Rattus norvegicus: one gene and its partners. The main gene of each other region encodes a partner of the protein of the gene in region 5 in a complex. Links are inferred from orthologs where the notes say so. Each region holds a gene or a part of one and is shown on either strand. Other genes may lie near its edges.

Region 1 (3,485 bases), on a different chromosome or scaffold from region 5:
TTTTTTTTTTCTTTTTTTTTCGGAGCTGGGGACTGAACCCAGGGCCTTGAGCTTGCTAGGCAAGCGCTCTACCACTGAGCTAAATCCCCAGCTCCGGCCTGTCTGCTTTTAATTACTTGGTAGAGGGACTCTGTACATGGAGGCAGTCATCATGCTTCCATTTTGTGTGTGTGTGTGTGTGTGTGTGTGTGTGAGAGAGAGAGAGACTTTCCATGTTATTTCACTTAGACGTGTGTTTTATAACAATCAATAAACATAGAAAACAATGTAGAAATGATGCCATCTTCTTCCTCCTGCTACCTCAGCTAGAACCATCCTCATTCAAGGGTTTTCCCTCCAGATTTGGTTGACCAGTGGGGTTGAAGATATAACCAAAAACATCTTGAGGGGTTCAGGGGGGGCCTCCTAGAGGTCAGGGAGAGAGCAGTTGGTGTTTCTTGGGAAAAGAGACAGGACCTACTCCTAAGTTACAAGGAGAACCCAGTGCCCGCCCTTCACACACCAGGTCCTCTCCTGCACTATTCCCTGGTGGTCCTGCTATCCCTGTGCTCCTCCTTCAGGGGTGACATGAGATCTCTGTCAGGATCAGAGTTAGGATGGCACAGAACTGTCTTTCCAGAGATTTAATGTCTGTGTCGGTACGTTTCCCAGCCCTAGACAATGTGCCAGCCAGTCACGGTTACTAAGACACTCCTGTGAGTGTGGACCAGCCTCAAGCGTCCTGCGTCGGGGAGCCAGCCACCTTATTTTTAGAGGCAGGGTTTCACTGAGACCTGGGGCTGAGTTTCAGTGTGCTGGCAAGCCCCAGAGACGTCTCCTCAGTCTGAGAACCCCAACCACGTGCTGTCCCTACTTGGTTTCTTATGTGGGTGCTGGGGAGTAGACGCAGGTCTTCACGCTTTGTGGTTTTACTGAATTCTTTACTGTTTTGGCACAGGTCTTCCTATGTAGCCTATGCTGGCTTCACATCCCACAGCCTCTTCCTTCAGCACCCTGAATAGGTGCGCGTTACCCACAGGGAAATGCTAGCATTTTGAAGGTTGTATTGGGACTCACTTAGGATTGTGAGGGTGCCCAGTAAGTCTCTACAACTGAGCTACGCTCACAATCCCGAGGAAACTTCTCTACCAGTGAAGCAAACAGCTGCTTTCAAGTGACTTAGCAAACTCTCAACACCCCCAGTGTACACAGGTGGAGTCCATCCAGAACTGTACGAAACACTGGCTTACAGTGGTTCTCAACTCTCTCTTCTGAAAGTTCTCTAACTATTGTTCTTTGGGGACTGGAGAGATGGCTCAGTGGTTAAGAACACTGACTGCTCTTCCAGAGGTCCTGAGTTCAATTCCCAGCAACCACATGGTGGCTCACAACCATCTGTAATGGGATCTGATGCCCTCTTCTGCTGTGTCTGAAGACAGCATCAGTGTACTTATAATAAATAAATCAATCTTTAAAACAAACAAACAAACAAACAAACAAACAACCCAAAAACTGTTGTTCTTGGAGTTTCTCAAGGCAAATTGACCAGGATTCCTTAGCCTCCACAAGAACTAAGGAGTGCCTGTCATCCTGCATGATCTCCCTGAGCGCTCTAGCGCCCCTCTGTGGAGCCAAGATTGATAAGACCACACTCTCCTTTCAGGATAAAGCGCTGCTGTTTCAAGTTCGACACCCATGTTACTCTTAACCCTCAGATCTCTGTTCTGAGCTGAGCACCGAGGGCGAGAGCCTGTCTGGGCCTGCTTTAGGCATCAGCATCTTCTTCAAATGAGGGACTCTGCTGACATACTTAGTTGAGAAGATACAGTGTAGCAAAGGCTATTTCTTGGTGTTCTGGCAACCAGACTAAAGTTCTAGGGCTATTAGAAGCAACTCCCCCCCCCCTTTTCAAGTTAATTTTTCTTTTTGTACACTGTTGTCTTGACTGCATGTACATCTATAGGAAGGTATCAGATCTTGGAGTTTCAGACAATTGTGAGCTGGGATTTGAACCCGGGTCCTCTGGAAGATTGGTTAGTGCTCTTAACTGCTGAGCCATCCCCGCCATGGGATTTTCCTAATGCGGATGTGTGCAGGATACGGAACAGCTGTTGACAACAAGGGAACAGCAGTCTTGAGTGAGGGTTATCCAGTTGGTGTCCTAGAACAGGACACACAGGAGTTGTTTGCTAGAGGCTAACAGACATCTCAAGAGAACAATCCTAACTCTTCCTTCAGGACTTTCTTTTTTTTTTTTTTTTTTTGGTTCTTTTTTTCGGAGCTGGGGACCGAACCCAGGGCCTTGCGCTTCCTAGGTAAGCGCTCTACCACTGAGCTAAATCCCCAGCCCCAGGACTTTCTAATACAAGGACCACCTGAGACACAGGCCCAGCTGCAGCAAACCTGGTCCAGGGAACTGGGTATGGATGTCCTGCATGCTGCACACTGACAGCCAGCAATGTTGTGGCTGACATCTACCTACGATGTTAAGAACCTGCTTACAATGTGCCTCGTCCTAGAGAAAAAGGAATCTTCCAGCAACTTTTTTGTCTACTTAAAGGCAAGGCCTCTGGGTCACTGCCTGGTTTAGAGCATATAGGAACGTCAGGCCCTGCTGCTCTGGGCTGGCACAGGTTTGTGGTTTCCCCAGGTCCCACCTGCAGCTTACCCGAATCCTCCTGCGCTGGCGGCCGCAGTACCCTCTCCGAACACTTTGCCTCCCGTCGAGCCCAGAGGGCTTGTAAAGGCTGGGGCTGAACCGAATGCTGGCACCCCTCCAAACCCAGGGGATCCCCCAAAAGTAGGAGGGCTGCCAAACACTGGAGCAGCACCGAAGCCACCTGAGCAAAACAGAGGCAAACAGAACAGGGGGAAAGGAAAGGAGACAGGAGAGAAGGCATCGAGCAGCCAGAAACCAAACCAAAAGAGGAGAGAGGGAGATAGGACGTCAGTAACTCCAACACAAGGACCCAAAAAGCACAAAACCCCAACCTCAATCCCTCAGCCAAACTGCTTCCCCCAGTAGGAGCAGAGGGGCTGTGGCAACAAGAGATCTGAGGACATCGGTGCCTTACTGAAGCAGGTGGAACTTGTCTCAAGTCCTGCTGAGAACAAACCACCCCAACTCTGCAGGCCCATCCCAGGGTTAGTGCCTCCTGGTGTCTCAACACAGCGGTGGCAGGGTGGCAGGGTGGCAGGGTGGCAGGTTTTACTGTATACTGCCACACACACCAGGCTCCTAGTTCTGGGGAAACCCAGCTAATGAAAGTTGGAGATTCAAAGCCCCTTCCCTGGCAGAACCCATGAACTGGGTCACGACAGAAGCAGGGTGATGCATTCTGGCCGCTAGCCACATACCTTTACTTAGTTACAGGCAGGTGGCTGTGGGCCTATCACCAATGCCCTGACCTGCGGCTTAGAGGGAGTCTTCCTGTGCTTTTCTGCAGCATCACAAAGCACACTGCCCTCCTTTTGGATGAAGGCCACAGTGTAAATTAACCAGGTGT
Region 2 (4,013 bases), on a different chromosome or scaffold from region 5:
ACTGAAGTCCCATCTTACTTCACTAGGTATAATGATCAGTCTGACTGAGGCTGCCTTTGCAGTGCACTGATGATCCCTCATAGAAGGGACTGCATGAGCTGAAGCCTCTCCCGGTGCTGAACACCTAGTGCCACTCTGCTTTGTCACCGTCTAAGTCTGGACTGCATCTCAGCTACTCCTACAATCTTCTTGGAAATCTTCAATCCCTAAAGATTTAAGTTTAAAAAAAAAATCCCCTTTGCAAAAACTTAAATTCCCTGGGTAAAGACTTAATAAACATTTCCTATAAAAGGTCTGATAGGAAACATTTTAGGCTTTCGGGAGTCCTAAGCTCGCAGTCTAAACTACCACATGGTGGCAGAGAAGCAGCGTCCACAAACATGACGCCAGATAACAATGTCTCTCACACAGAATCAAAATGTAGTGTCACCTACCCTGAAATCCTAAGCTCCTCAATGCACTTTCTTGGTAATTTTAACTCCCATTCCTCCTGCCAAATGCAAAAATTTCAGTGTTGGATAAATAATCAAAATGAAAACACTGTAATATTTCCTTTGAGATAGGATTTAAAATGTAAGAAGTACAAGCCAGGAACAGATGAAGTAAAAACATTTCACTTCTATTGACCTTACCTTAAAAGCAGAAAATCCTGAAACACCTGCTACTCATTAGCCTCAGACAAATGATTCTAGCTTCCACTGTACTAAATGTACTGTAATCCCTTTTTTCCCTTAACTGGGAGATCCCGATATGGAGATATCTGTGGGACGGAGTCCTTAGGCAACAACACATCGTCCATAATGCTAAGGTTTAGGTAATATGAAAGTCTGTTCCTAAGTAGTACAATAGTAAACACTACAGTTCTTAAAATTGTACTTATGAAAAATAGGGTTCACAAAACTATGAATAATGCTTAAAGCAGCCTTCAAAATGAAAAACAGAAAATAAAACAATAAGATTATAGAACAGAATGCTTTAATGTCCCAACAATACAAATATATTTCCAACTTCTGAGTTCTGAAACAAAGAAAGCACTATTTTCTCTCCACTGACACAAACTCTATGTGTTTTGCTTGGAGACAGTGTCTCATAGCCCCGTCTGGCCTAGGGTTCCTTATGCAGAGTAGCCTGACCTCAAACTTACAGAGAATGGGATACTTCTTCACCCTGAGTGCTGGGATTATTCTTAATCAGAATACCAACATTTAGTAGCTCTTACTATCCACTACAGTCTTTAACATTTCACATGCTAATCACCCACTTACCTCCCAGAAACCTACAGCACAGTACACTGTTCCCCATTTCATACATGGAAATGAGTCACAGACAAGTAAACTAACAAAGTTTCACAGTCAGAGTCAGAACCAAGACCTGAAGCCTGGAATGTGGGTCCAGGGTAGCCTGTGCTAACACTCCACTGTGGTGCTTAATGTGCCTTCATTTTAGCTTTGTCATGAAAGCATCATTTCCACTACGTCCAGACACCTTGCTTCTCTAAACGCCCTGTGTTAAATGACCTGGGTACTGTGATTGACCTGAGGACCACCCACACTGTGAGGAGAAAGGTGGCTCATGCTCTCCTCAAGGAAACAATCCTACAGACTGGGTGGGGACAGTCTGCCTTTGAAAAAGGCACACTACTCCCTAAAGATTTGTCCTTGAACTGCTGCCTCCTGTACTTTAGGTAGGAGTTTCCTAACAAGGGAGAAATTGCGGGGTGGGGGGGAGTCCCTCTGTCTTCTTATTACCATTTCTTTTTCTTCCCTACATTACTTCTTTAATATTTAAATGTGCGGGTTTAGGTGCATGTATAATTGTATTAGTTTTAATTTTTTTAATATATAAAAATAACTATATGACATGTTTAGATTATGACCCCTAAATGGTATCATTGGCTTTAAGTTACAGTAGCCGACTCCTAGCCTTCCAAAATGTTCTACTGAAAACTCCTTAGCTGTATATATAGCCTGAGTAACTTGATAAGAATTACTACCCAAGACTCAATCACAGTAAGCTCCTACCATCTTCAGGTGGCATTTCTGAGCTTCTCCTGCTTCGATCCTGCCGAGACATCCCTCACGACAGCCTGGCCAGCACCTCAGCTTTACAACACGCACTCTCACTGAGATCAAGGTTACTGGGAGTACAGAGTCTAACAAACTGTCAACCTAACAAGATGGACTTCATGTCCCCGTCTCCCACCAAGACACAAAGTCCTACTTCCCTCTTCTGCACTGTACCAACAAAAGTCACGAAGCACAGCAGTCTTCACAGATATTCCTAAATGTCAGGATATTAAGCTATCTATTGTACTGACAAAAACTATTTTGGTCACCCTTTAGTGACATAATTTTAATAAACCCCCAAAAAACTGACAATAATTCTTTGTTAAAGAAATCATCAAGTCAAAACTAATTCTCACAGTAGAGCTGGAAATATTTTTTCTCTTTGAAAACATAAAAAAAAAAAAAACCTCATAATTTTCCAACAAGTACTGGGTATAAAGACGACTTAAGTACATACCAACTTCATTAAAATCTTCAAATGTGATCTTGCCTGTGGCTTCTCTGTCATAATCTTTAAGAATCTTCAATACATCCGCCTTTTTCACATCAAAACCCAAGGCTCTCATTGCCACCTTTTGGATTAAAAAGGAAAAACAAATTGTAACGCGCTCCTTACAAAAGAAGCATCATTGATTTATCAAAAAGTTTCCATCTTAAAAGATGACAATAGATTTCTAAAGCACAATTATTCTGTATTTTTAATCTCTAAGTTAAGAATATGACACCATGTTGGTTTTTCATTTTGAAATTAGAAATTATTTTCATTGACATTTTGCTATTTTATATGACCAACTAATTAAAGAGTTTACAAAAAATACATAAAACAATGCATTAAATACAAAGATAATAATTTGTTACATAACACATACAAATATATTTCCAACTTCTGAATTCTGAAACAAAGAAAGCACTATTTTCTCTCCTTCAACATAAACGCTATGTGTTTGTTTGGAGACAGGGTCTGCACATCATGTAGTTATTTTCATATAGTAAAAAATTTTAAACTAATACAAATAACATTCAAATAAGGGATATAGAGACATGTCACAGATATGCTCTTGGCGCATAAAAGCAATAAAAAGCATAAAAGTCTCAGGCATCCATGGTTGACATAGTGGAACTGTATAATCTGATCACTCAAGAGACTGAAACAGGACTGTCATACATTTGAGACCAGCATGGGATACATATAAAGATCCTTTCTCAGCAAACAAGCAAGCAGTCGGCATTCCCAGCGGAGCAGGTATAATTAGCTGCTGCGGTGCAATTAGTTTCAGATGACTGAGTTTACACAGAAAACCGCTGCTAGTCCCAGGAAAGGAAAGCTGGGTTAGTAGTCAGTGAGGTCTTCTAAGTCAGTGGTCCCTTACTGAACAGAGGAAGAGCTGAAAGAAAGGACGTGGAGACAACGACTGGGATGAAGGTGTCCCCGTCTGGACCGGGAGGCTCTGGGCAGAAGAAATTCCTAACTAAGGACAAGTGGGAAGTGGAGACAGTAGCATTCAAAGGTCATTGAGCGGAGGAAGCTTTACTTAGCATACAGGGGACAGCCAGAAACAGCTTATGAGCAACGAACATAGTCAAAGGATTCAAGAACAACAGGAATTAATGGTGGTGTAAAAGACAAGTCAGAAATGAGGACGCTCCAGCTATGAGACAAAGTCCCCATCTGTGATGGTCAATGACAACGAATAGCTAAGACACTGGACAGGAAGAACTCATGCTATGTGGAGGAGGGGAGCAGCAGCAAGAGAACAGTGGGTTAGGGAATGAGCTAAAGGAGGACCTCAAGACTGAGGCCAAAGCTTCAAAGTCTATTATTACTTTTAAATAGTCTATCATCTCGCTACATAGATTCTACCCCTATAATGTTAAAACTACTAAATGAACTTTTAAGGGTACTTAAAGAGATCAAAATGTGATCCTTCTTACTAGGCTGAACGTGAG
Region 3 (4,013 bases), on a different chromosome or scaffold from region 5:
ACTTTGAGGACTTTGTCTCAACAAAATAAAATACTATAAAGGCTCAGTAAACACAAAACATGAACACGTTCAAAATGAAATATCGGGCTGGAGAGATGGCTCAGCGGTTAAGAGCATTGACTGCTCTTCCAGAGGTCATGAGTTCAAATCCCAGCAACCACATGGTGGCTCACAACCATCTGTAACATCTTCTGGTGTGTCTGAAGACAGTGACAGTGTACTCATCATATATAAAATGAATAAATAAAATCTTAAAAAAAATGAAATATCATATAACAATGAAGAGCATAGTAATGTCAGGGTTGGGGATTTCGCTCAGTGGACTAGCAAGTGGAAGGCCCTGGGTTCGGTCCCCAGCTCCGAAAAAAAGAAAGAGAAAAAGAAAAAATAAAAGAACATAGTAATGTCACAACATACTAAGGTTGGGGATTTAGCTCAGTTGTAGAGCGCTTACCTAGGAAGCGCAAGGCCCTGGGTTCGGTCCCCAGCTCCGAAAAAAAAAGAAAAGGAAAAAAAAAAAAAAAAAAGACTAGAGATACAACATACTAAAATATACGTTGAAAAGGTCATGTATCATATCATATATATAAAAGTAACAGACAAATCCAGAGACATAAAGCAATGGATTTGGACCTATGAGACCTGATATAACAGTAATGATCTCATGGGCACACGATATGCTGTGGAGATAGTGAAAATGTTTGAAAACTATATTACTGTTAGCTGAACTGGATTTGGAACATGCTAAAATATATGCTACTTTGTTCTTTGAGACAGGGTTTCCCGTGTGCCCCACATGCTCTATCTAGAATTCAGAGGGCTGGGATTAGGTTTACACTACTACACTTGGCAATTTTTATACTTTTAAATTAGAAAACTTTAGATCACAAGACAGAAATCCAGACATGGTGGTGATGCTTAGCATAGAAACACACCCAACAATAAATATCAGGCCAGTATTTAGAAATCTAGTTTTGAAACAAGACATGCTTTATACCAGTGATATGAGTACTTGGAAGCTAAGAAATGAGTTCCCAGTAGTTCAACACTAAAATGCTCTACTGAGCTCCAAACACCCAGAAAAGAGTATGAGAACCTGTCTCCAAAAAAAGAGCCCAGTACATGCATACAGTGCCAGCATGTGGGAGGCAGAGGCAAGTACACCTCTGAGTTTAAGGTCAACATGCTCTACACAGTTGAGTTCAAGGACAGCCAGGCAGGAGGACATACAGGGACCCTGTCTCCAAAATCCATGATGTAACGGGCTCATAGTCAAAATCATCTCTTGTAGAAATAAATGTCAAGAAGCAGACCTACCTCCATGAGTGCTTCCCTGAGATTCAGCCTTTTCTCTAGAAGTTGACCATGCTCCTTTAGGAAGGTGCAGAGAAACAGACTGAGATTTTGAATAAAGTTCTGTTCATCATCTTTCCCATTCGAATATGCAAGTCGGATATTAGTGTTTAAAGGAAGCATCTGCAAGTTGAAACCATCATCAATCTACATATCATAGAAGCATCAAATAAAGTGGAAGCCCTAACACGGCAAGAGCCGTCTGCAACTGACACACAACATACTATCTCAGATTTGTTGCTGGTCAGTCCAGATTGATTTTATAGTTTTTCTATCAGACTTTCTCTCAAGACAACAAACCTGTAACCGTGCATCCGGATGAATCATACTGGGGTTTAAAAAGTCCTTTTACACTCGGAACAACAAATCTGAACTATATCACGGTATCAGTAAAACAATATTTTTAAAAGAAAACATAAAAATTTCCACCTAGAATTGCATGTAACACACACACCACATCATGGCTGATCTGTAGTGACTGATGGTTTAACTTAAAGCTCGCCTTTTAATCTGCTTATCTGGCATTGCACTGCTGTTGGTTATGAATCTAACAATTTCAGGGCAGTGGTATGTACCTGTTTTAGCTGCATCATTGTAAGTGTAAACAGAGTTTCAAACTGCTCCTCATACTGGCTCACACTCACACCAGCAATCTCCGTGAGGCACTTTAGAGACACGTTTCGGAACATCGGAACATTCAGGAACTATTTTATTAAAAGAAAAAATATCGAAGTTAAACACAAGAAATGTTTTATTTAAAAATGACAAAGGGGAACGGGTTGGAGAGTTGATGGTGGATAAAAGCATTTGGGACTTTTGCTGAGGACCCAGACTCTTCTCCCAACACTCACAAGTAGCAATTCCCAGCGACACTCAGGTGACACATGTCCATGCATGCAGTCAAATACCATTCCCACAAAAAAACAAATGTAAACAAAACAAAGCAACTTTATGCAAATAAATATAAATGTAATAATACAGCCAGCCTATTATGTATGAAATACAATATACTCAAAATACTGAAATCTTTAAGGGGCACATGTTTTTTTTTGTATCAGAGATCCAGGTGCTCTGCACCTGAAGAAGACCTTCAACTTCTGACCTTCCTGTGTTGCATCACAGATGTTCACTACAGGGACAAGCCTGTGCACACTAAGCAAAAAGTAAGCCACAGCTCAGTAAACGGGGTATGGGAGGCACCTGTGGTAACTTTCTCAAGATTATCACTATGTCCAATGGACTTGAGACCCTGACTAGGGCTCATTATAAAATAAAATAACCAAAAGTATAAAATGTTCAAAGGTACGACTAAAGAACTTGAAAACTGACATTAGCTAGAGACCACTGTGCAGTACATCCTTTGCAGGAGCAAGACTAGACAACGGTCAAAGAGAAAATGTTCACTTACATATCAGCTATGATATCCGCTATACTGAATGAGGCTGACTTGAACCATGATGCCCATACCATTTCTACACCCCCCAGTGTCTTAAGGAGATAATTAACATAACTAAGGTTAGGAATGCTATAAAGAAATTCAGGGGGTTGGGGATTTAGCTCACTGGTAGAGCCCTTGCCTGGCAAGCTCAAGGCCCTGGGTTCCGTCCCCAGCTCCAGGGGAGGAAAAAAAAAAAAAAAAAAAAAAAGGAAAAAGAAATTCAGTTATAGACCCTGCGTATCCTTGGTGGTTAGTTTGTGAACAGCCAGCTCACAATGCTCACCTGTTAATCTTTTTTGTTTTGAGAACAACAATTGGGGGTTCATCTTATTCTACTCATCAGATAAAATACTTTTATGACCACAGTGTTGGAGCATTTGCAGCTAAGATTGACGACCTGAGTCTAATCCTGGGGACAAGCATTTACACAACAACGTAAACAACCCCCCCATTTACAGAAGTAAACATCTGATTTTCTTCACTGTGACTGAAACAAAAGAAAGCAATTTACTAATTGTACCAGAAATAGCATCCTCCAGTTTTCACCCTCACCACCCCTACACCCACCCTCACCAGCCCCCACCCTCCCCACCACTATTATTATCCTTTTCTGAGACATGTAACCCTGTAGTCCTTAAATCCTGGGCTAACCCAGCCACACACTGATTAAATGCTGGGATTTCAACTCTGGTGTGGCCCACAGAAGTCTGTGCTTTGTCTTGCTTGACCCTTGAACAAGCACGAACCCCCACACCCTGCTATGTATAGGCCGGCCTCTGTAACATGTCACACAGGTGAAGGCAGGTACAAGATAGAACAAAACCTGTCATTGGAAGAGAAGGATGGGCGGAAGTTTGAGGGAAAAAGGAGACTGGAATGGAAGGACAAAGGAGAGGAAGCCGTGGAGAGAACATGGAGGCTGATGTAAAGATTCCACTCTGTGTATTTACAGGTTGTTATGAATGTTCTTAAGGGATGGGTGTGTACAGGGCTTTGCATGTTTAGGTGTTCAATTATATTTTATCAACTGGATCATAGGTGGTGTTGTGTGTTCTTCCTTGTGGAGATTTGAGTTTGGGAGAGTATGTGTCAGCAGAGAGACTGGGGCACCACGGATGGGATGTGTGTTTCTGGCATGGTGAATGAAGCCTGCCTTGGGAACTAGATGGACAGAGAGATTGTTGCCAGGGTCAGAGAGAGACCCCTGATTGTGTGATATGGG
Region 4 (3,975 bases), on a different chromosome or scaffold from region 5:
CCCTTAAAGTGGCTCGTAACTGTTCCTAATTCCAGTTCTTGAGATCTGATGCCCTCTGGCTTCCACAGGCACTAGGCACATATGTGGTGAACAGATATACATACAAGTAAACCACAACACACGTAAAATAGTAATAAACTCAGACAGACAAAACAAAAACAACCATAATGCTGAGAATTGAGAGTGGGAGTGATAGGTATGACAAATACACTGTATACATGTAAAAAGTCCTTGGAGAGTGCTGCCAGACACATACAGCGCTCTGGGATTACAGGGGTGTGCTAACAGCTTGCCTTTTTATGAAGATTCTGAGAAGTGAACTTGGGGTGTCAGGCTTGTGTGGTTAGTGCTCTGATATGCTGAACTCACTCCTCAGCCCCCTTGTTCTCTTAACTTAGGATCTGTTTCTTTCTTTTTTTTTGGTTCTTTTTTTCGGAGCTGGGGACCGAACCCAGGGCCTTGCGCTTCCTAGGTAAGCGCTCTACCACTGAGCTAAATCCCCAGCCCAGGATCTGTTTCTTAAAGATTCCAGAGTTCCCAAAACACAAAGACAAAACCACCAGGAATACTATAAACATTTCATTTTATTTTTTTTTTAAGAAAGTACTTCAGAAAGAGGAAAATAATCTAGATCATTTATATATATATTTTTTAATAAAAACCTTTACATAATCTTCATGCATAAAGACCCAGGGGTGGCCATATTGTCTGTGACAGCCCCAAATATCCGCTCTTTCAGGCTAGTGCCTGGGACTTCCCATAGCCAGCAGCAATGTGGTGAAGGCCTTCCCTATCTGCCCCTGGGCCCAGCCAGACCTGTCGCAGTGACAGCTTTACCTTCTGAGAAATGTTCTTGGCTAGATGGGAGGGCAGGGAGGAACACCCTTGACATTCTTCATCTAAACTCCTCTGGCAAATCGAGGAAAATGACTGATGATCAAGGGTCAGAGCAGTTCTGGGGCTTCTCAAGAGTTGTTCTCTGTAGCTTGGGGCCACTGCACATGATAGCATGGTGTCCAAAGGATATACAAGGCATGAGTAAAAGCCTTGAAGATCTCCGCCTCCATGGTAGACAGCCCTTCTTTCTTAAATATGTCAAAGAACAAGGTCCAACTCTCTTGATTCCCAAACACACTGTTAACTGAGAAATCTACTTGAGAGACAAATCTGTAGTAAGGGAAGGTCAGTCAGTCATATATCTGGGGTGAGAGTCAGAACTCTGGGTGTGGAAAAGAATTCCCTGGGTTTTGGGAGGTTCTGCCAAAGAGGTTTTATTGACCATTTTTCAAAAGAAAAAAACTGAATGGTCTTGAGGTTGATCAATGGAGACCTGTGTTTTTTGTTGTTGCTGTTCCAGAAGCCCTTATGAGCTATGGTAGGATATGCTCAGTATTATGAAAACCCCTGAATAACTAGAGGATGCTGCGAAGGGCAGCGAAGAGGAGCGGAGGACTCCCAGAGATTGGCAGAGTGTCAATTAAAACAATGTGGGAGACTGTGGTGGCGAGTGCGGATGGGCAGGAGCCAGGCTCATTGGCTCCCAACAGTCAGTTCTCGAAGGTAGGACTGGGTAAGGCCTCGCAGTTCCTCCAAGGCATAGTCCTCAGGCATAGGGAGCCTGCCAATGTGGGGAGCCAAAAGACGCAAAGGGACTCGCTGAGGGTCCGGAGTGGAGTTGGAGGTGGCGTCAGGAGTGTGCTGAAGGCTCAGAACTACCCGCAGTAAGTTGGCTACCCGCTTGGCCATATCTAGAGAGAAATACCAGAGTGAGTACTGAGAACAAGGCACTGGTGTCGGGGTAACGGCCATGAGCAAGCAGAGCCCACATGTTTACCTGACTGAGCCAGGCGATCCTTGGCATTGTAGCACGGAATCTGCTCTATCCGGTTACACAGTGAAGTCACTTTGGTATGTAAGTGCTCTAGTTCATAGCCTGAGCAATCCACCTACAGGAAAACAGAAACCAGTAAGGACAAAACAAACCTCTACCTCACATGCCTCCATCTCAGCACTTCAATGCATGGTCTACGGAATGAGTTTCAAGACAGCCAGGGCTATAAACAGAAACCCTGTCTCAAATAACAAAACCAAAACACTACCACCACCAAAACAAAAAGCCCCATGTATACCTCAATCCCACTCACAGATTACACACAATCCTAAGGACAATGATAGGAGGGGAGAAAACCCAAGAGCTGGTGGCAGTGCCCACGCTACCACCATACCACCTAGTTGCTAAGGCAAGGTACTAACAGTGAACATGAGGGAGTGAACACAGAGCCTTGGGCTGGACAGGTCCTGAGATATGATTCACAAGTCACATAATTTTTACACAACACCAAAAAACATAGGATACATCTGATTCAGACACATAGTATGACACTCAGCAACACACATGTAGTAAGAGGTGACACTTAAACCAGCATTTAATTTACAACTCCTTATTCTAAAGTCACAGCCATTTCTAAAACAGTGCAGGACCTACTCATTTATACACTCTCCTGATCCATCCCTACGGTTCCAACTATAGTCAATGTATTGATTTCTAAGTCCTCAGTTCTAGCCCAACACCAAACTTCCGTTCCTGTGCCACACTCCTTGTTGAAGCTTGGACCACCATTACTTCTCACCTTAAACACCTTAGGAGCTTGGCCACACTACTGTGTTACTCTCTATAATCATGGTGTTGGGTTGTTTTTTGTTTTTTTTTTTAAAGATTTATTTATTATATATAAGTACACCGTATCTGTCTTCGGACACACCAGAAGAGGGCATCATATCTCATTACAGATGGTTGTGAGCCACCATGTGGTTGCTGGGATTTGAACTCAGACCTCTCTGGAAGAGCAGTCAGTGGCTTAACCACTGACCCATCTCTCCAGCCCAATCATTTGTTTTTTTGAGATCCGGTCTTGATATGTAGCCCCAACTGGCCTAGAACTTGTATATTCCAGGCTGGTCCCAAAGTTGCCATTACCCTCTTGTTTCATCATGGCATATTATAGGCATGTAGCACCACACCTTGTCAGAGACATTAAAAACAAACCAGATTTACTTTTCTCCTGTCACCAGGTCAAAGGATGTCTCCTTTCACTATGTGAGTTTTGGAGACTGAACTCAGGTCACCATGCTTGGTTACAAGTGGCTAGAACTCACTTTGAAGAGGGCTTGCAGAATTCACTAATTTATCCCTAAACACAAACTACTCTTACCCTCTGCTATCTTTGCTTGAATTTTACAGACAAGAAAACCTCAAAGAATTGTAAGCTGCGGAAATAAAGAAACCAGATGTCTGTTTCAAAGTAGGGGAAACTTCCTTAAGTAGGCCATTTGTCAGCTGAGACCTTTCTAAAAACACGTCAAGTTTGTAAAAGAAACAGCTAAGCCCTGTAAGGTGCAACACATGCGGTAAAGAGGAAAACAGCGAAACAGAAGGGGAAAGTTAAAGATAATATTTTGTGCATGATGTTTATCAGCATGTATGAGGGCAGAAGAGGGCACTGGATCTCCTGGAACTGGCTAATGTCTATGAGCCACCATGGGGGTACTAAGACTTGAACCTCTGCAAGGGCAGCAAGTGATTTTAACCACTGAGCCATCTCTCCAGCTCCAGACTGGATTTTAAGTGAGGGGTGCGTTTCATTCGGTTATGATTATGAATACCGAGCTACACTCTGAGTGGCATATAATCAACAACCCATGGCAATCTTTTCCTTTACTCTGTAGTATGGCTGGCTTACTCAGTCTTCCCCACTGAATCAGTAAGGAAAAAACGTGCTGTTTACCCCAGTAGCTCCCAAATCCACAGTCCTCAGCATATTTTGGGTTCTTAATGACTATACTGCATAAATGAACTGATTTCAACTAGAAATGTTTCTTCAGTGACTACTAAAATATGCCACTATGTACCTGGCTTAGGGCTATTAATCAGAAATGGATAAAAACAGGAACTGTTATCAAGATTTTAGTAAAGGT
Region 5 (4,013 bases):
CCTGTTTATTATCGTAATTCTGTAAAATTTTTATATCTCCAATGCCTCTTTCTTTCCACTGACCAACATCTTTATCATATCTGTAGAGCTTTGCTCTGTGACTAAAAACAACTTGTTCATTTTCCTCACCACTGGATACTTCAATTAGATCAGGTAAGGGAACAACAGGTTCAAAGTACTGTCCATCTCTCTCTTCTTCTTGAGTAACATCAGACTCTTCATCAGTGCCAACTGAAGTTCCACTCTGGTTCAACTTGGCAGGAGACTTAGATGGACTCAGAGCAGATTTAAAACTGAAGTTAAATCCTGTAGTTGACTCACCAAAGCGGAAGAGGTTTTTCCGCACAGGGCTGCTTGCCAATGGAGAAGCATGAACTGAGCTGCTGCTGACACTGTCATCCAAGGCGTCTTCCCGTAAGTCATAGTTATCCCATTCTAAGGCGGGCCCAGTGTTATCAGGGTTTTGCTTGACTGTAGTGTCTGAGGCACTGGAAGCATCTGCACCTGAACTTGTGTTCTCTTCCTCAGTCACTTTTGCTTGATCATTTGTCAAAAATGTTTTGAAATCTTTCAGTCCGCTCTTCATTTCCTCAGCTCTTTGTATTAATTTAGCAGCCCTGCCAGTATCTACAAGTTTATGGGGTGTCTGAAGTGGAATGTCTAAGAGAAGTCTTTGACACTCCTCAAATTTCTGCTTGAATTCTTCAGCTAGTTCTGGCGTTTTAAACTTTGCAGCCAATTGTTCCAGTTTAGCATCGCCATCTGAGAAATCACTGGCTAGCCACATCCATGCTCTATCTGACCCTGAGAGAGGCTTCAGGTTCATCGTAGTGGTTATCCAATGATTGGCACAAACTTTTAGTACTTGTTCTCTTCGCATCAGCATTCTTAGTTTACCATTGACTTCATTTTTGAGAATTTTTAAGTTCCCCAAACCTCTTTCTTTCCACTGACTTATCTCAGCATCAAATCTAAATAATTTCACCCTTTGAGAATACAAAACTTTTTCATCTTCTTCCCCTGTTACAAGTTCCACTTTTTCCGGCATCTGCACTACTGGTTCAAAATGGATGTCATCGCTGTCCTCGGTCTTATAGGCATCGTCATCTTTCTCAAGATCAGAAGTATTTGCTTTCTCAGCCACTTTGCCACTTTGTGATGAGAATAATTTTTCTCCTGCACCTGAAAATCCCTTGAAATTAGGGTCTTTCTTGCCAAACTGAAATCCTTCTCTTGAAGTTGACTTTGCAAGATCTGCAAAGGTGAAGGTGCTGCTTGTCTGACCAAAGACCACACCACTACCATTCTTCTGACCACTAGTATCATGAGCTTGGAAACCAGGATCATTTTCAAGATGTTTCTCACTCTTCTTCTCTTGATTTCCCTTCTCCTGAATGCCAAACTTAAACCCATCAGCAGATACAGGAATGCAAAAACTAAATCCATCCTTGATTGACTTAAATTCTGTATTAGAAGAACCCTGAAAGGTGAAGGAGGGTGTTTTTTCTTGATCCACATGCCCAAATTTAAATTTCTGCTCTGATATGCCAACTTTAAAATTCTTTTCTGGAAAGTTACTTTTGAATTCTGTTCCCACTTGACTTCCTGCAGATTCATTTAACTGTGACTTTGAGCCCACTGTGAAAGCTGAAGGAGCTTCTGCAATAGGCTTATGAGTTGGCTTGGAGGCATCACAAGACACACATTTTAGGGAAGAGCTCTCATTTTGTACAGAACAAACAGTACACTCCCACTCGCCTTCCTTTCTGGTAAACAAGCCTTCAAAACCACACTTTGGAGATTTGCTTGTCTCTGAAGAGGCAGGAGCTGATACAGCAGATGTAGGCTGATTCTGCTTATTTGGATTCTGACAAGCAATACATTGAGAAGCACTTGCTTCATTTCGGACAAAACACAAGCTGCAATCCCATTGTCCTTCCTTCTTGGCGAACATGCCCTCAAATCCACTCCTGGGAGGCTTAGTCATCTCTGAGGTACCAAACTTGAAAGAGGGAAGTACTGTAACAGTGGTAGATGAACTGGGTTTAACTGGATTCTGACAAGCAACACACTTTACAGCATTTGCTTCATTTCTCACTGAGCACAAACTACAATCCCACTGTCCTTCTTTCTTAGCAAACATGTCATCAAATCCACTCTTTGAAGTTTTACTTACATCTGAAGTGCCAGCCTTAAAAGAAGCAGGTGATGAGACAGGAGCCTGTTTTGCTGGGTTCTGACAAGCAACACATTTTGTAGAGCTTGCTTCATTTCGGACTAGGCATATACTGCAATCCCACTGACCTTCTTTTTTAGAAAACACAGACCTGAAGTCACTGTCAGCAGACTTAGAAAGATCTCCCTGGCCAAATTTGAAAGAAGTTTGAGCAAAGGAAGACCCATTTTTGTTAGCAGACTTTGTGTTCTGACATGCAATGCACCTAGATACAGTGGGTTCGTTTCTTACTAAACAAACACTGCAATCCCAGTGACCTTCTTTATTTGGAGTCATCAATGCAAATCGATCTTGAACATTTTCTGGGCCAGTTTTAGAAGCAAAGCCATTTTCAACTAATGGTGAACCTAGGAGCTCTTTGCCATTCGTTGGTTTTGTATTTTGGCATGATACACATTTCGTAGCAGTTGCAGCATTCTTAAACGAGCAGCTGTTACAATTCCAGAAAGGCCCTTCCTTCTTTACAATCTGGAATTCAAAGTTCAAGTTTCCACCATCAGATTTGCAAATGTCCTTGTTATCCTGAGTTGCAGGTTCTTTGACAATTCTAAGAGTATGATTTGCTGCTGTAGAGGCATTTGTTCCTAAGGCTTTTAAAATGTTCTGGGCCTCTTCAAATTTACACTTAAATAGTGCTGCTTCCTCAGGAGTTTTGAATCTAATTGCAAGCTGTTCTGGTTTGGGCAATTCATCTGCATAATCAAGGGCATGCCATACAAAAGATCTATCTGAGCCAGCATTTGGTGTCAGTTTCATATCGGGGCTTATATAATGATTTGCACAGATCTTTAATACTTGCTCTCGTCTCATCAGAAGGCGAATTTTACCAGATGTTTTGTGCCTTAGTATTTTTACATTGCCTATCCCACGTTCCTTCCATTCTTTGGATTCACCATCAAAACGGAACAACTTTGCACGATTGCAAAAGAATTCTTCTTCATCTTCCTCACCCGTTTTTACTTCTATCTTGTCAGGAAGAGGTACCACAGGCTCAAAGTGAGGACCATCATCCTCTTCATCTCCATGAGCACTTCCTCCATCTGTTTCATGACTTTTATTTGCCAGTTCTGAAGTAGGTGTTGTAAATATGGACTTTCCTGGACCGTGAAAAGTAAACATATCATCACTTCGACGAAAACCAAAATTTTTCTGCTGATTTGGGCCCATGTTTTCTGTAAGTGTACTTTTGCTTCCAAAACTGAATGTATTCCGAGACCCACCAGTTTGAGCTGATATTGGTTTTAGTCCACTATAGCCATCTCCTTGTAAAGGTTTATCTGAGGTCAGGAGACCTAAAAGACTTTCACTGTTACTGTAAGCTGTTGAAGGAGACTGTGTCACTACCTGTGGTGATGAAAATGTGAAGTCACCGTCATTTGATTTGAAATTTGAGTTAAATTTAAAGGGAGTTGGCTGTGTTGTATGTGCTGGTGTTGCCAAAGGTGGCCTTATTACTTCACCCTGCATGGGCTGAACAAAATTGGATTTTCCAAATTCTATAACCTTTGATTCTCCCGATCTTGAAGCATGAGCTACAAGTGGAGGCTTTGTGAAATACCCTGGTTCTGGCAAAGGTGGATTTGTGCTTGTCTGCTGAACATTGTAATTAAAGTAATCATCACCCCTGGGTGATAGAATTCCTGTTGCAGGAGACTCAAAACGCAAGGGAGGACCATACATTTCCTGAGAGAACATACAAGAAGATGAACTTTGCACTGGTGGTGTGTGCATCTGTTGTGAATATGCATAAATATGTTGTTGAGGTGGAAGCCTATTC
Region 6 (4,013 bases), on a different chromosome or scaffold from region 5:
TCTACAGAGTGAGCTCCAGAATAGCCAAGGCTATGCAGAGAAACCCTGTTTCAAAACCACTATTTTTTTCCTTAAAGTGTATGTATGTATGTATGTATGTATGTATGTATGTATGTATGTATGTAGATGGGGTTTGGGGTATGTGCACAAGTGCAGGTACCTGCAGAGGACAGAGGAACTGAACTTACAAACACACAACACAGGTAGTGACCAACTGAACTTGGTCCTTTGCGAGAGCAGCCAGTACGTGCTCTTGATCGCTGAGCAGTACGTGCAACCCCAAACTTCATCACAAACATGTATAAAACTGCCACAAACCTTTTCAGTGGAAAAGAAGAAACCAGGCTGGGAGATGACCCAGTCAGAAAAGCTCATATTTTGTAAGCAAGGACCTGAGTTCTATACAAGTTCTATCCTGTACAGACCTGTCAGTGTGGGGCACACAGCGGTCAGCACAGCAAGGGGCAAACAGGAGTCAGTAGTCGGGCACAGCCATGCAGGTCCACTCAGAAATACAGCGCAGTGGCAGCACAGTCCACCTTAACACACACACACACACACACACACACACACACACACACACACACACACACCCCTACTGAGAGCCAAACATGGTGGCTTACATGTGTAATCCTACTATTTGAGAAGCTGAAGAACAATTGCCATGAGTGGCCAACATGGTGTGAGACTTTCTCTCAGGGGATTGGGGATTTAGCTCAGTGGTAGAGCACTTGCCTAGCAGGCGCAAGGCCCTGGGTTCGGTCCCCAGCTCCAGAAAAAAGAAAAAAGAAAAAAAAAAAAGAAAAAAAAAAAAAAGAAAAAAAAAAAAGAGACTTTCTCTCAAAACATCAGAAACTCACACAAGCAAACAAACAAGTGAACACAGGCCCACACAGGGGCCTCCTGTAAGCAGAAACATACACCACACAATGCTATGAGCTTAGATATGTCCACCAGGTCCTGGTCATCCCCAACATCACATTAAACTCAAAGAGTGGCAAATGCTTGTAAGCAGAAAGATCAGACATTCAAGCTCATGCCTGGCTCAATGGCAGTCAAGGCCATCTGAGTTCCCGTCTCAAAAGAGCAAAAAAACAAATGAACAACAAAAAATAGACTCAGTAGTTAAGTGTTCTCTCTGTCCTTGCAGAGGACCGAGATTCAGCACCTACACGGCAGTTCAGTTACCTACAGCCCCAATTTTCCAGGCTCAGATAGCCTCTTTGGCCCACGCAGTCACCAAGCACACACATGGTTCACATGCATAACATATACACCCATGACTGAAAGCACATTAATCTTTTATTGACTGATTGGCTGCTTTGTTGAGACAGGATTTCTCTGTATATCCCTGACTATCCTGGAACTCTCTGTAGAACAAGCTGGACTTGAACTCAGAGATCGGTCTCGCTCTTGAGTTCTAAAGGTGAGCTGGGACTAAAGGTGAGTGCTACCATAATCTGAAACTGATTAATCTTTACAATAAAAAGGGGGGGGGGCGCACTGGAGAGATGGCTCAGTGGTTAAGAGCACTGTCTGCTCTTCCAGAGGTTCTGAGTTCAAATCCCAGCAACCACATGGTGGCTCACAACCATCTGTAATGGGATCTGATGCCCCCTTCTGGTGTGTCTGAAGACAGCTACAGTGCACTCATATACATAAAATAAATAAATCTTAAAAAAAAAAGGGGCTGGGGATTTAGCTCAGTGGTAGAGCGCTTACCTAGGAAGCGCAAGGCCCTGGGTTCGGTCCCCAGCTCCGAAAAAAAAAAGAACCAAAAAAAAAAAAAAAAAAACCAAAGGTTGGTACGTACAGTGCTGGCTGAGACATGATCTCACAATATTGCCCAGGCTGTCTCTGACCCTGAGTTCAAGTGCTACTCCAACTTCAACCACCAAATAACTGCAACCATTAATACGCGTGCCATCTCCCCAGTTGATAATACTGTGCTGAGGGTCTGGGGATGAAGCTCGGTAACAGAGGAAAGCTTTCTCACCATGCATAAGCACCCCAAACACAAGGTGACCAGAGGCTTAGTGGAACTATGAGCAATGCTTCAGGGTTCAGCAGTTTGGTTCAGGGCAGCTCTAATGCCCATAAACAATGAACTGATTATACTGTGGATTTATGTAAAATATACAAAACACTTATAGTCACACACATCACCTGATTGTATGTACTCAAATCCCCCAAATTTCCCCTTCTGGTAGACTTCCCTCCTTGAATTCCAGACTCCTATCTCCATGACCTAGTCAGCACATACCAGTCCTCTCTTTCACCAGATCACCCACCTGCCCACCTTTCTCTCACACCCTCCCGGCCAACTGTGTTCCTTTTGTGGTGGTGGGCATAGGGACCAGTGCATGCTGGTCAAGTACTCTCCTACTAAACTCTACCTCCAGTACCTGACTATCCTATGTTCTGAGAGTCGCTATACTGCCTCTGAAATACGAGGTAATGAAGACCCCGTGTCAAGGCTAATGAGAAAGCAGACGCAGTCTGCACATAAATAATCCCAGCATTCAGGAGGTGAGGCCAGCCTGGATTAGAAATGAGCTCCAGGCCAGCAGGGCTACATAGAGAGACCTTGTCTCAAAAAGCAAACCAAAGCTAGTAACAGGACAGCCAGGGCTACACAGAGATACCCTGTCTCAAGGAGGAAGAAAAATGGGGCAGTGGTGGCCACGCCTTTAATCCCAGCAGTTAGGAGGCAGAGGCAGGTGGACCTCTGTGGGTTCCAGGGCAGCCTGGTAGGGCAGATAAGCCTACACAAAGAAGCCGTGAATTAAAATGTATAAATTCAACAAAATAATCCAACGAAGAAACCAAACAGGATACTTTCTCCTCTTGAGGTGCTGGAGATCTTGCTCTCCCAGATGCTATGCGGGCATTCACTACAATGCCCTCAAGCCCCTTGTCAGCGCACCTCACCCTTCCTAATGCATGAGCCTTCACACAGCTCATGCTGGGGTGACTTCCAGCCACGGAGTCATTTCCTTGCTGCTGTCCATGAGTAGTAATGTAAGGATCTGACAGGTTGGTAACTGCTGCCCGAGAGTATCCTCCCACCTCAAAATGACCACTTGTGTCTTCTGCACCCCACCTCTCCTCAGTCTCCTCAGCCACTTAGTATCTTCATACCTTCTCTCCCTCAGATCTACAAACAAAGCCTCCTGGTCAGGAGTTTACCAAGCTCCCTCTCCATGCTAAACTAGTTTTTAACTGCTCTGGAGCAGAAGGGAAGATGGAAAACCTACTCTACAATCACACACCCAGAGAGCTGAGCCGCAGCTGGAGCAGGTCCTCCCAGTCAGCCGACTGCAGTCCCGCACACTCACCAAGTTCCAGAAGCTCTCATGCTTGCTTGGGTGGTCACTGCCCAGGACATCTGCTGACAAACTGTCCACCTCGCACACGTGCAGTCGGACCCAGTCAAGAAGATGGAGGAGGAGAGGTCCAGCTGAGGAGAGACTCTTGTCACACAAAAGATCCCAGCTTCATCTGCAGCATGTTCCCCTCACCCAAAGTACAGACGCTGATACGAATTTAAAGCAGAAGCCCTGACTGGAGAGGGGTTTATTCCCTGCAACTAAGAAGGACAGAGTATGGCAGGGACCCTGTGATGCTATACAGAGCTAGCCTGGCCTAACAGGCTACATGAAACAAACAAACTGGCGTTACCTGGAGCTACTTCAATGAAAAGAATCTCGCACAGGTTCCAAATAAGCTCCATGGCTGACAAAATGGAGACCTAAGGAGAAAAGAGGCCAGCTTACCTGAGACATCCCTCAGTCACTATGTAGTTTACCTGAAACACCCCCCAGTCACCAGCACTCCTACAGCAGGAGTTCCCACCAGGCAGCCCAGCAGAAGATGTCAGATAGGGAGATAAAAACCTGCAGAATGCTAACACTGGTGATTTTATTTTAAGGTGAATTAGAAAAGTAAACTAGCATATCACACGGATGCTCTTGATGGATTGTGGGTTAAGAAGGCGCCTCATTTGAGTAAAA
Region 7 (4,013 bases), on a different chromosome or scaffold from region 5:
AACAACCCCCAGACAACTAAACCAAAGCCCTTAGCATAATCCTAACAAAGTTACATTGCTGGAGTTTTCATTCTGGTACTCAAGAAGCAAAACTAACCAGGGGAAAAAATTGGAGTGAAAAAACTGCACAAAAATCTATAAAAGCAAACACTGACAGATTTTAAATTCAACTTCAAACAACAAACACTGAGCTGAGGAAGATAATTCAGTGGGAAAAAGCTCTTTTGACCAGTGTGAGGACCTGAGTTCATAAAACCACAGGCAGCAAATATCTGGTAATCCCCCTGCTCCCATAACAAACCGGGAGGCATAGATGAGAATTCCCAGCAGTTACCAGCCAGCTAGCCTGGCATGAACACAGCAAACAACAGAGATCCTGTATCAAACAAAGAGGAAGACAAAGATCAATGCCTGATGCTGTCCAATGGTCTCCACACATGTGACCACAATCACATACTAGAAAAAAAATCCCTATTAATGAAATATAAGTTTTAAACTTTAAAATACAATAAACATAATGAGAAATTGTAACTGGAAACAAGTAAGTCAAAGTATTAAGTCCCCAAGGCTGGAAAGATGGCTGCCTTGTTAAGAGTACTGGCTGCTGTTGCAGGAGGGCTGAGTTCAGTCAGTTCCCAACCTTAGATGGTGGTTCACAACTATCCATGGCTCCAATTTGAAGGACTGCAACGCCCTCTTCAAACCTCCATGGGCATTGCATGTGTGTGGTGCAAAGAAATAACACGCAGTCAAAGCACCCCTACACATAAAAGTTTATAAAGCCCTACATTCCAATTAAAGGAGCAAGTAAGTTGAACATCTTAGAAGGTGGTGAAAGCCTAAAATGATTTAGCTTGGATGAAATCAATTTTAAGAAGACTGAAACGGGATGTTCCAACTCAAAAAGTAGCTAAAATAAATAAATAAAATGAGCAATCTCTAGACAGAAAGTCAATTTAACCAATCTTCAATTAGTCTCTATGTTCTATATCTAAACAATACCTAGAGATCAATTCTTTTTCAAATTTACCTACTTCTGTGTGTGTTTGTGTGTGTGCACATGTAAACACACACATGTGGCGGTTAACCAACAACCCGCAGACTCAGACCTCCTATTCCACCATGGGAACGGATGAAACTAAAGTCACCAGATTGGCAGCAGCACCTCTACCCAGAGCTACCTCACCAGTCCAAGAACTCATCCTAATTAATAGGAAAATAATAAAAGACAAACCTAAATGGTCACAAAACACATACAAAAGATTCCTCCTTCCCATGAAACAAGACGCAAAATAAAGCCCGGGTGACTTTTTTTCTAGCTATCACACTAGAAATGGACCAAAACCAAATGCTAGTAAGGAAAAATTTTAAAAATTAAGATCCATCTATGATCACATGGAGTGTTGTGAAGAGAATAATAGCCAAGACCAACAACACATTTAAAGACATGTCAAATCCTGTAGTCCAAAAACCTCATTCCTGGTAAATATCCTCCAGACCAAACTGCACATGGCAAAGGAGAAGTGTATCAATATTCACCTTAGCACATACTGGGGATCAGCCCAAATGTACCCTGATGAGAGAATGGACTAATTGTAGTAAATCTGCACAAAGGATAAACAGCAGAGAAATGTAAATTCCATTGTTCCATTAAACATGAACCATCGCAGAGAGAGTACACAGTGTTAATCGTATGTACACTTGAGAAACAAGCAAAACCCGAAGGCAGCAACCAGAGAATCCAATAATGTCGATGGGAATTATCTCACATACAAAAATACATAAAATAAAAAGGTGGAGGGGTTTTTTAAAGTTATTTTACCCAATTCGTGAAGTTGAGGCCTCTGGGCTGGGTATTAGAGCAATGGTCGAAAGGATGGTTTCAATGGTCGATACTCTTCACTCCAAATCTTCAAGCCCCATTCCTATAGGCCTTACTTCACCCCGACCCTCTCAAAGTTCTATAAAATGTGAGCCTACCTCCTCCTCTGAAGGTTTAGAAGCAACAAAATGTGTTGTTCTCTCTCTTCTCATCTTGCCACCTCCACCACCTACTCCAGAAGATAAACCATTGGCTGCAGGAATACTGAAATTGGGGTATGAAAAGCCACTAGCAAACAAAAAAAAGAAAATTAGAACAATTTCAATATTTTGTTGCAGAAACTGTTAAATATTCAAACACCAGATCAGCTAACAAAACAATTAGGGTATAGCCAAATATACTTTGAAATTTCTTCTGCATTTATTTATGTATTCATACATTCATGGGCATGTAAGCACACATGATCTTAGTATGGGCAGCTTGTGAAGGTTAGTGGGAAAGCTCTTGGCAGTCAGGTCTCTCCTTCCACTACGTGGGACTAAACACAGGTTTCAGGTTTGGTAGAGTACCCTGACCTGCTGAGCATCTCGCTCACCACCTAAGTATACGTTTCAATTTTCTTTATCTTCAAGGCTATTGTAAATATGAACCCTACAAATATAAAGAAATCCATTTGCAGTATATGATGACATTACCTTTCTTGCTCTCTATTTTGTCTTGAGATATTTTTTTCATCTACAGTCTGAAAGAAAAAAATAGTATGAGGATTTTATTTAAAAAATGACAATTATTTGGGGAGTGGGGTAATAATGAGGAGTGCCTCGAACTCCGTATACAGCTCAGACTGAACTTGAGATCTAGTTCCCGCTGCCTCCACCCATCAAGTGCAGAGATCACAGGTGAGCATTTCTGGCTTAGTTTTTTTTTTCAGTGCTGTGATTAACTCAGCCTTATCAAATGCAAGGCAAGTACTTCCACCACTGAAAGCTACATCCATAGATTCAAACTCTCTTAACATCCTTTTACTTATAAATTTTATTATTTGAAATTAAAAATTTGATTTTCTAATGGCCTTGGTATATGTAATTTAGACATTGTGTTTGAATGCTAACCAAAGGTCACAACTGCACTGTGCACTGTAATATGAGCATATATACAAAATGTCACACATCTACTAGTCCAAAGGTCACACTGACTTTTAGGGGACAACTTTCCTTTTTGCTGTACTAAATGATAGACAACTTTACAAGGACAGAATCTGAGATATAAAGTACTCCCAACTCATCAGAACTATCAGAGAACCAGAAATGTACAAGATTCGGAATTACCTTGCAATATAAAAAAATAAGATACCCAAAACTGATGGGGCATAATAAAAGGACACAGAATCCATTCAAAGGCAAATACAGGGGAAGATAAGCATCAAAGAAGCAACTCTAAAATTAAGGATTCAGTTAAACACAGAAAATTCTCTACAGCAAAGGGCCAATCAATAGATGGAAAAAGAACAATAGAACTAAAAGTCTACCACAGTGCAATCAAAAACAGCTTGAGGCAAAAATTCTCAATAATGCTAATGGGATCAAAAATAGACAGGAGAGGGCTGGAGAGATGGCTCAGTGGTTAAGAGCACTGACAGCTCTTCCAGAGGTCCTCAGTTCAATTCCCAGCAACCAGGGTGGTTCACAATCATCTGTAATGGGATCTAATGCCCTCTTCTGGTGTGCCTGAAGACAGTGACAGTGTACTTATTATATACATAAAATAAAAAATAAATCTTTAAAAAAAAAAAAAAACAGGATAAGTTCCACTTGAGCCCTAAGATGAGCTCAACCCTCCTTCAGTGGATAACCAGGAATAACCAGAATCTAGACCCACCCAGGACAATCTCTTAGCGCTGTGCATTCTATACAGTAACTAACTCGTCTTTTCAAAAATATTCTAGATTAATGAAGACAAAGACAGATGACAACTACATGTCACGGTCTTGATGATGTCTGTCAGTATTTAACATCTAAATAAAATTTATAGTTTTGTGCAGCACCAAGATTCTCTTCTTGGGTTTGAACTCTATTATCTACTACAGAGAATCCTAATTTGTAAAATAAACAGAGGGGGGAAAGAGACAAATTTAGTAAAATACTAGTACTTTTCTTACAAGCTGAGATGTAGCTCTGTGGTAAAGCACTTG

Evidence for each region.
Region 1: Ranbp2 (region 5) and Nup214 share a complex: the UniProt entries of both Homo sapiens proteins name them as parts of the nuclear pore complex. The link is inferred for Rattus norvegicus from reciprocal best matches to the Homo sapiens genes RANBP2 and NUP214.
Region 2: Ranbp2 (region 5) and Cetn3 share a complex: the UniProt entries of both Homo sapiens proteins name them as parts of the nuclear pore complex. The link is inferred for Rattus norvegicus from reciprocal best matches to the Homo sapiens genes RANBP2 and CETN3.
Region 3: the proteins of Ranbp2 (region 5) and Xpo1 are in contact, whole or in part, in a cryo-EM structure (PDB 9B62), measured with the Homo sapiens proteins. The link is inferred for Rattus norvegicus from reciprocal best matches to the Homo sapiens genes RANBP2 and XPO1. Residues at the interface, in NP_006258.3 of Homo sapiens: Val2508, Val2509, Ser2510, Pro2511, Pro2512, Lys2513, Phe2514, Val2515, Phe2516, Gly2841, Phe2842, Gly2843, Ser2845, Thr2846, Gly2847, Leu2848, Ser2849, Phe2850, Ala2851, Leu2853, Ala2854, Asn2857, Ser2858, Gly2859, Asp2860, Phe2861, Ala2862, Phe2863, Gly2864, Ser2865; in NP_003391.1 of Homo sapiens: Trp60, Val63, Asp64, Leu83, Asn97, Gln98, Gly101, Ile102, Lys104, Tyr105, Val107, Gly108, Ile110, Ile111, Leu134, Phe149, Asp152, Ile153, Gly155, Ala156, Ser157, Arg158, Thr159, Ser160, Glu161, Leu163, Cys164, Asn167, Leu208, Phe211.
Region 4: Ranbp2 (region 5) and Nup98 share a complex: the UniProt entries of both Homo sapiens proteins name them as parts of the nuclear pore complex. The link is inferred for Rattus norvegicus from reciprocal best matches to the Homo sapiens genes RANBP2 and NUP98.
Region 6: Ranbp2 (region 5) and Nup85 share a complex: the UniProt entries of both Homo sapiens proteins name them as parts of the nuclear pore complex. The link is inferred for Rattus norvegicus from reciprocal best matches to the Homo sapiens genes RANBP2 and NUP85.
Region 7: Ranbp2 (region 5) and Nup153 share a complex: the UniProt entries of both Homo sapiens proteins name them as parts of the nuclear pore complex. The link is inferred for Rattus norvegicus from reciprocal best matches to the Homo sapiens genes RANBP2 and NUP153.

Annotation. Positions count from the first base shown.
Region 1 is NC_086021.1:35,732,496-35,735,980, reverse strand, and holds part of Nup214 (nuclear pore complex protein Nup214), read right to left. Parts: intron 2,820-3,485; coding exon 2,648-2,819; intron 1-2,647. UniProt on the Homo sapiens protein: Part of the nuclear pore complex. Has a critical role in nucleocytoplasmic transport.
Region 2 is NC_086020.1:13,827,644-13,831,656, reverse strand, and holds part of Cetn3 (centrin-3), read right to left. Parts: intron 2,639-4,013; coding exon 2,524-2,638; intron 1-2,523. UniProt on the Homo sapiens protein: Plays a fundamental role in microtubule-organizing center structure and function. As a component of the TREX-2 complex, involved in the export of mRNAs to the cytoplasm through the nuclear pores.
Region 3 is NC_086032.1:101,458,389-101,462,401, reverse strand, and holds part of Xpo1 (exportin-1), read right to left. Parts: intron 2,058-4,013; coding exon 1,929-2,057; intron 1,477-1,928; coding exon 1,318-1,476; intron 1-1,317. UniProt on the Homo sapiens protein: Mediates the nuclear export of cellular proteins (cargos) bearing a leucine-rich nuclear export signal (NES) and of RNAs.
Region 4 is NC_086019.1:165,905,839-165,909,813, forward strand, and holds the end of Nup98 (nuclear pore complex protein Nup98-Nup96 proprotein), read right to left. Parts: intron 1,947-3,975; coding exon 1,835-1,946; intron 1,749-1,834; coding exon 1,531-1,748; 3' UTR 567-1,530; downstream 1-566. UniProt on the Homo sapiens protein: Plays a role in the nuclear pore complex (NPC) assembly and/or maintenance. NUP98 and NUP96 are involved in the bidirectional transport across the NPC. May anchor NUP153 and TPR to the NPC.
Region 5 is NC_086038.1:27,015,933-27,019,945, reverse strand, and holds part of Ranbp2 (E3 SUMO-protein ligase RanBP2), read right to left. Parts: coding exon 1-4,013. UniProt on the Homo sapiens protein: E3 SUMO-protein ligase which facilitates SUMO1 and SUMO2 conjugation by UBE2I. Involved in transport factor (Ran-GTP, karyopherin)-mediated protein import via the F-G repeat-containing domain which acts as a docking site for substrates.
Region 6 is NC_086028.1:101,311,757-101,315,769, reverse strand, and holds part of Nup85 (nuclear pore complex protein Nup85), read right to left. Parts: intron 3,752-4,013; coding exon 3,682-3,751; intron 3,461-3,681; coding exon 3,339-3,460; intron 1-3,338. UniProt on the Homo sapiens protein: Essential component of the nuclear pore complex (NPC) that seems to be required for NPC assembly and maintenance. As part of the NPC Nup107-160 subcomplex plays a role in RNA export and in tethering NUP96/Nup98 and NUP153 to the nucleus.
Region 7 is NC_086035.1:18,205,804-18,209,816, reverse strand, and holds part of Nup153 (nuclear pore complex protein Nup153), read right to left. Parts: intron 2,565-4,013; coding exon 2,518-2,564; intron 2,111-2,517; coding exon 1,981-2,110; intron 1-1,980. UniProt on the Homo sapiens protein: Component of the nuclear pore complex (NPC), a complex required for the trafficking across the nuclear envelope. Functions as a scaffolding element in the nuclear phase of the NPC essential for normal nucleocytoplasmic transport of proteins and mRNAs.